Linked DNA regions of Xenopus tropicalis. The protein of the gene in region 2 interacts with the protein of the main gene of each other region in a biochemical or structural test. Links are inferred from orthologs where the notes say so. Each region holds a gene or a part of one and is shown on either strand. Other genes may lie near its edges.

The links. The genes of interacting proteins can lie anywhere in the genome.
Region 1: of the proteins of prkaa1 (region 2) and rack1, one has a biochemical effect on the other in vitro, tested with the Homo sapiens proteins (2 studies listed by BioGRID). The link is inferred for Xenopus tropicalis from reciprocal best matches to the Homo sapiens genes PRKAA1 and RACK1.

Annotation. Positions count from the first base shown.
Region 1 is NC_030684.2:71,557,592-71,562,035, forward strand, and holds the start of rack1 (receptor of activated protein C kinase 1), read right to left. Parts: upstream 2,815-4,444; 5' UTR 2,746-2,814; coding exon 2,637-2,745; exon of another isoform or gene 2,509-2,636; intron 2,150-2,508; exon of another isoform or gene 2,055-2,149; intron 1,880-2,054; coding exon 1,708-1,879; intron 1,344-1,707; coding exon 1,196-1,343; intron 1,010-1,195; coding exon 914-1,009; intron 1-913. UniProt on the Homo sapiens protein: Scaffolding protein involved in the recruitment, assembly and/or regulation of a variety of signaling molecules. Interacts with a wide variety of proteins and plays a role in many cellular processes.
Region 2 is NC_030677.2:195,921,086-195,924,145, reverse strand, and holds part of prkaa1 (5'-AMP-activated protein kinase catalytic subunit alpha-1), read right to left. Parts: coding exon 3,032-3,060; intron 2,432-3,031; coding exon 2,207-2,431; intron 1,546-2,206; coding exon 1,056-1,545; intron 145-1,055; coding exon 18-144; intron 1-17. UniProt on the Homo sapiens protein: Catalytic subunit of AMP-activated protein kinase (AMPK), an energy sensor protein kinase that plays a key role in regulating cellular energy metabolism.

The DNA.
Region 1 (4,444 bases), on a different chromosome or scaffold from region 2:
AAGATTTCATATAGTAAACAACCTGTACCATATGGTATTCTTAAAAAGGTGCAAGAGGATACTGGCCATGACTTGGTAGGGTAGTTTGGCCAATTTTGACCATATGGGCCTACTTTGTGTGCCTATATAGCCAATACAAAAGGATGGGGGGGGGGGGGGGGGGAAGATAAATAATTCCATGATTCTGGTAGATCAAGGATCAGCAGTCCTCATGGCCAATTTCCAGTCAGCCAGAAGGGAAGCAGCAACTCTGCAATTTGTCTAATTTGTTCAGTGTCGACACTGAATAGAAAAAAAAGCCACACATGTACTGCCACTACAATATTCATTCATCACTCAAATGCTGTGTCTGGTAGGCCCATGTATGGGGGCTGAAAGCAGAGCTGCAAGATTAACTACAGAAGTAGGGCATAATTATTTTTACATTATGTGTTTTGCGCTTTTGTAACAGCCCTAGGAAATCATAGCCCTTTAGAAGTAATGTGCCCCAGTAGCTTCCCATCTTTTCTGATGATTCACTGCACATGTTCTGTTCTGTTCTGTTTCCCGAGCTTAGAACTATTGACAGGCTAGAAAATTTGCGACAACCCCTAGACTTAGCATCTCAACTGCACACTGAGCACGAGTGTCACCGACACTAATAAAATCCAAGATGGGGAGTTCCCGTGACAACTGCAGAAGACCTGAACATTCAGTATATAAAAGTGGGCATCTCTAGCCACTTATTTTCAGGGCTTAGTTCTTAGTACTTGTTTAAGAGGGGTCAGTAGTGCACTATTTAAAGGGGGAGTGAAAACGCTTTAAAGCTGCTTAACACTTTACTTACCAAACAAGTATGCATTTAAAAAAAAAAAAAAAAAAAAAAAAAAAACTCTGAACCCGTATTAAGACTGGAGGCATCCAAAATACTCACCTTCACCATCTTGTCCCAGCCGCAGGATACAATGATGGGATTACTGCTGTTAGGGGAGAACCGGACACAGGACACCCATTCAGTATGTGATTCCTCCTAAGAAAGACAGCTTCATTAGTAAACAGCCTGCCAAAAGACCTAGAATGACTGTTTATTTGGTCCCTTCATAATTGCAGGAGTGTCATCCTGAAATTAGTGTGCCTATATTAGACACTCAGAATACAATTGTTCTAATCACGTGGACCAACAGAACTAAAATATAGTTATAACGCTCATACATACCTGCACAGTGTATTTACAAACGCCTAAAGTGTTCCACAGCTTGATTGTTTTGTCACGGGATCCAGACACAATTTGCCGGTTGTCAGCAGAGAAAGCGACACTCAGGACATCTTTGGTGTGTCCTACAAACCGGCGTGTGGTGGTGCCACTGCAGAGGGATATTTGACACGATGACAAAATGACAGTATCCATTCCCCTCAGAACACTCCTTTCTGTGCCACCCTGCAGGGGGAGGGACAGATTCATAGCTTCCCTCTACCTAGGTTACTATTTAACTGGTCCTTTGTCATATGCTTCCCCTGCAGGGATATTCTGGTCTGACAGTAAGTGGACTCAAATGATTCTTAATGCTAAAGTTAGTCCAGTCATTCCTTCTATCCAAGTAATAAGTCAAATTCTGTAGTACTGAAACCATGTCTAATTCCCTGCTGCTGATCAGTAACTTTTGCTGAACATTCTGAAAAGCAGCCATTTAACAGGCCAGGTAATGGAACAAGGATAAGTGTACTCACGTTGTAAGATCCCACAGTCTGAGTGTTCCATCCCAGGATCCTGAGAGAGCGAACTGCCCATCTGAAGAGATAACCACATCACTGACAAAGTGGGAGTGACCCCGGAGAGCACGTTGTGGAACCCCATAGTTTGTTTCATCACGAGTCAGCTTCCACATGATGACAGTCTTATCTGTGCAGAGAGGAAAAAAAAAAAAAAAAAAAAGTCAAAGGACATAAGAACACTATTGCTGATTTAAATAAGTGGTAACCTCAACTTCTATGCAGTAAACCTCCAACAAGGCAGTTCCACACAGGGGTAACCCTCCCAAAATAAACCATGCCATCACAGCGAAGCCATGCCATACCTTGTCATTGGTCTACGGTGTCTCATTTTATGTCTGTAAGCAGGTGAAGATGTTTTTCCTTTGCACAACCCAAACTGCCAGAAGAATGAGGTTATCTAGTATGCAAGAAAAATGAAGACATGAGATGTGCAAAGAAAAAACACTTCCACCACTGCTCATACAACTCTATGGCATTGTCAGCCTGCAAATTCTTCAGTACCAAGGGCTAAGGAACAAAGTTCTAGCAAACAATAGCTGCCACTATACATCATATATCGCTCACACCATAATTAAAAGGTAAGTTAGCCCGCAAAATCTACCACCATCTTTCCCTTGCTAATCAAAACGACAGATAAAGAAAAGCTTCATTATAGTTAGGACTTCCAATGACGCATAATGAATGAGGAGCCATTTTAGCCCCGATACAGTAACATATCACACAGCGACACTAAGTAGTTACAGCAATCACATTTACCAGGGCTGAAAAAAGCAACGTGTAAGCATTCATGCTCTTGTTCTAACGATAAACGGGGTCCCGGATACCGCAATGCATATAAACTTGCGTGGATCGATAGGCTACAGTAGGCGTCTCATGCATCTCACCTCTGGAAGAGCTGAGAATCATGTCCGGGAATTGTGGGGTAGTCGCGATTTGCGTGACCCAGCCATTATGGCCCTTTAGGGTCCCCCGAAGTGTCATTTGCTCAGTCATGGCTGCGATGAGTCCGAAACCGCTCCACCGGCAAAGGATGGAGACAGATGGTAGACACCGGGCCTAAAGCGACCGAAGAGAGGCTGAACTAGGCCTCGCCTCGCCTTTTATACAAAGCGGCGTCCTGACGTAAGCGCGCTGCGCCGCCTTGCGTCAGGACGCCTTTACCCGGATGCATTACTTGTTTACATCACCAGAAACGAGTTTCAACATGGCAGCGAGTTGCAGAATGTCGTACAGTGCAACTTAGGCTAAAAAATCGCGCTACTTTAAAATCTTTTAAAACAAGACAAAAAAAGAAAATATGAATGACAACGTGAATTCCAAGCATAGGTATAAGCGCTAGAACAGAATTGGCTATTAAATCAACTGGTGACTACTTTCCCTGTCAAATAGAGAAATCGCGGGGATAGGCTGACCGTACGCAGGCTAGTTTGCGTTCTGATTGTAGCACACGTGAGAGGGTTCCCATGCTTATATGACTGTGTGCTGGCGCCATATTGGTTGTGGAATGTTAGCTGCCGTAAGTGTGGAACACGCACATCTTGGATATATTGTTGTTTAAAACGTAACTATCATGAGGATACTGGGCGGCAGGCATAAGTAGTTTTTTTTTGTCATAAACAGGAAATAAAACATTAGAAACATTAAAAGTGCTTCAAAACATGCTTTACATGTATTATATTAGTCAGTGCCCCACTGGGTCTCTTTCACCACTGGGGAATCTCCTTTATAGAGTTATCTCTGTTTGTAGGGGTACCTTTTGGCATTATAGTCCACACCTTGCGCCCTGCTCCTTACTCCCCCACCTGAACTAGGGCAGGGACACTGCAGTATCTCCTGCACTGAACAATTTCCTTATAAAAAAAAAAAAATTCTGCTCTTTAAGCCACACGCAGCCTATGGCAAAGTTCTCACTATTTTTGATTGAACCAAACTGTAAACTGGGATTGAAACCACCATTAAAGGAGAACTATAGCCCCCAACAATGTAGGTCTCTACAAAAATATATTGCATAAGCAAGCTCATACGTAAAACCCTGCTTCATCTAAATAAACCATTTTCATAAAAATAGACATTTTTAGTAGTTTGTGCTATTGCGTAATCATAAATAGAAAATTGCCATTTTAAGAATTAAGGGCCACCCCCTGGGATCATAGGATTCACAGTGCACACAAACAAGCCAAGGCACACATACATGCTAGGCCCCATCAGCCAATGAATAGACAGGGTTCTGTCTTTAACTCCCACACTACTTCCTGTTACGGTTAGAGCTGGGCAATATTTACTGATATATATATATATTCCATTTTGGTGAGATTACTAGGTCACTTAAAATTATATAAACTATCTGTTGGTTAAGTATTCATTCTGGGGGTATAGTAGGGCGGCCCATGCTGCACATTACTAATTGTAACATACCTCTTAAATTTCAAGACAATGTAAAATCTAAAATGAAAAAAATGCCTTTGTTGGGCAATCACCAGGAATTCCAGGAAAAGATAAACTCTGGAGATGTTAAATTGGAGTTGTAGGGTAATATTTAAACATTATTCAAGGATACGTGGAGGAATAATATGATACAGACAATGACATTCTAGGACAACTGCAATATGTCATTATTTTTTATGGTTTGCAAGCTTTTTGTTTAGCAGCTTTCCAGTTTGGAATTTCAGCAACAATCTGGTTGCTAGGAACT
Region 2 (3,060 bases):
ACAGAAATGTCACATACCGTCAATGCTGCGGAAATCCAGCAGGTAAGTTCTGCTATCCACTTGGTACAGCTGGAGGCTCATCTTAGTGTACATGCTAGTAACGGGATTCTTCCTTCTTACGCGCAGGTAGTATGGATTTACAACCTCAATATGGGAAAAATAATAAGGGAAATTAGTCTCTTGCACATGGATCAAATGTAGTCCCTTGCACATGGATCAATGCAGTTATGAATCTGTCGCTACAGACTTAAAGGAACAGTAACACCAAAAAATAAGTGGTTTAATGTAATTATAAAATATATTGTACTGTTGCCCCAACACTGGTAACATGGGAGTGTTTGCTACAGAAACACTTCTATAGTTTATATACATAAGCTGCTGTGTAGCTATGAAGGTAGCCATTCATAGGGGAAAAGGCTCATGTTATATAGCAGATAAGCTCTGTAGAACACTATATTATATTTCACAGACCTAATCTGTAACCTGCTAATTAACCTGCACCATTAATCCCTATTTCAATTGCCTCCATTGCTACACAGCAGCTTGCTTATATATATTATAGTAGTGATTCTGAAGCTAACACACCCATTCTAGCTGTGCAGGGCAGAGGTACACTTTATTATAATTACTTTAAAACACTATCATTTTTTTCGAGTTACTGTTCCTTTAAATGGACTTATCCATCCCATGAATGGGGGCCCACGCAGTGTTGGACTGGCCCACCAGCATACCAGGAAAACTCCCGGTGGGCCCAGGGGTCAGTGGGCCCTCCTGCTTCTGGTCATTTGGCCTGTTTCATGGTCATTACCTATTTCTGAATGGGAACAAAGAGGAGAAATAGATGGAAGAATAGATGCTAGCATGTAAATAAGAGAGACTAGGAGAATAAAGTGGTTTATTGAGAAAAGGAGGAAAAACTGTTCAGAGATTGGGCCCATGGTCTTAGGTTTTCCAATGGGCCCCTGGGTTCCCAGTCCGACACTGGGCCCACGGCACCTCTTCCCTTACAGTGTTAGTAAAAGCTTGCAGAAAGAAACCCAAGTGCAAGAGCTTACCTTCCACTCATAGCCCAGCTGTTTCATTGCTCGGCAAACCTCTGCCATGATATCGTTTGGGCGGCTCTGACTTCGAATGCCTAAATGCCATTTGGCTCTTCTCACACCAACCTGGTGTTTGGTCTTTTGTGGGTTTAACTCATCGAGAGTGTGTCGTTGCCGGGGTGACTCGGCCACTAAAAAGGGAACTCTCTCTGGGTGAGGCCGAGCAACTTGAGGCTCTTCCATAAAGGAATCCGGAGGGCTGGTAGCCAAATAGAAGTCTTTGGCCTCATTCATTATGCGGCGATTATCTATGATCAGATGGTAGGCGACTGCCAACGGGTCCTGGTGGTTGCGACTGTACAAGCAGCTCAGCACTTCCTCCTCCAAGCACTCGCACTTCTCACACACTTCTTTTAAGGCTTCGTCGTCTATCATATTGGAACTGTACGATGGATCCTCGGGAAACAGATATTTAGGAAGATCTAGCTTGAACCATTCATGTTCCCTAAGAGGCAGAGTATCAGTTTAGGAATACAAGAATATTAAATAAATCTAGTTTTTTACTTTTGTTTTACAGTAATGCACCGTTAAGCATAGACTCCGGCTTGGGACTCCTCTATTTACATGGGAGTAGGAGAAACAATAGGTTACCTGAAAGCAGTTCTAACATGGAGCACTGGCTCCTTCTGAAAGCTCAGACTCAGGCACAATAAAAGGCAAATCACTTGGGGTTCCAAAATGTTAGGCACCCCCAAGTGACTTTAATCGCTTACCTTGTACCCCCGGCTGGTGTCCCTGTTTGGAGAAAACAGCACCAGCCCGGGGTACCTGTAGCGAGCGCTTCCTCCTTCGTTTTGCTGGCAAATTCCCGGAGCATGTGCATTAGAGTAAAAAGCCGACTTCTCTGTTAAAGTTCCACTATTCACCCTACTGAGCATGCGCGCGCAAGCGAAAAGGAAGGAGGAAGCGCTGCACCTGCCCCGGGCTGTTGCTGTTCTCTCCGAGCAGGGGCACCAGCCCGGGGTAAAAGGTGGGCGATTTAAGTGACTTTTGCCTTTCCTTCTCCTTTAAATGGTATAGTGAATTATTTGCCATGTAAATAAGTGTAATTTAACAACATCATGACAGCATACCTTTAAGTGGTTTTTAACAGTTCAAGAACTTACCGAATATCTTTGATGGTTGCCCTTTTCATGGGATCCACCAGCAGCATGTGCTTTAGAAGGCTAATGACGGGAGGGTTCAGGTACTGGGGTGTGTAGAAGATGCCATCACATATCTTCTTAAAAAGTGTTGGCACATGATCATCATCAAAAGGGAGAGTTCCACAGAGTAACGCATACAGGATGACCCCGCAGCTCCATATGTCCACCTCTGGGCCAGCATAAAGCCTGCAACAACACATGGAGAGGTTCAATGCCTATTTAGTACAATCTGACTTACTGAGTAGGAAGGTGGCGGCAATGGGTTAGCTGTGGTGGGCCTGGGTCTGTTGGCAGATGAGCCCTTTTGGGGACAACTGGAGTTTAGGCACCATTCCAACCATAGCTCATTCTGGCCAAGATAGCTAGAATAGAGGGAAACTCTTTACAAGTTAGAATTTTCAGAGACTTCAATAAAAACCCCAGTGCCTCCAGGGATTCCACAGGGCCAGAAAAAGAAAAAAAAACATTTATTTTCTGAAGTTTACATTTAAAAAAAAAGGCCCAGTTGTCCTGCATGTTTTATGCCCAGGCACAGTACAAAAAAAACCAAAACAAACATTACATATACATTATAGCCAATAAAAAGAGGTTTTCACCATGTTCCTGAATCCTACCCGCAAACACACTCCAAATGCCATACACACTGCCCAAAGGAACAGACCAATAAACGATAAGGAGTTTGCTTACTTAGGTGATTCAGAGATTCATTTCTAACAGGCGGATACTGCTGCTACAGTGCCCGTCCCATATTTATTACATTAAGCCTCACTGAGGTTTACTACATACCTTCCTGAGATAACTTCCGGAGCAGCGTA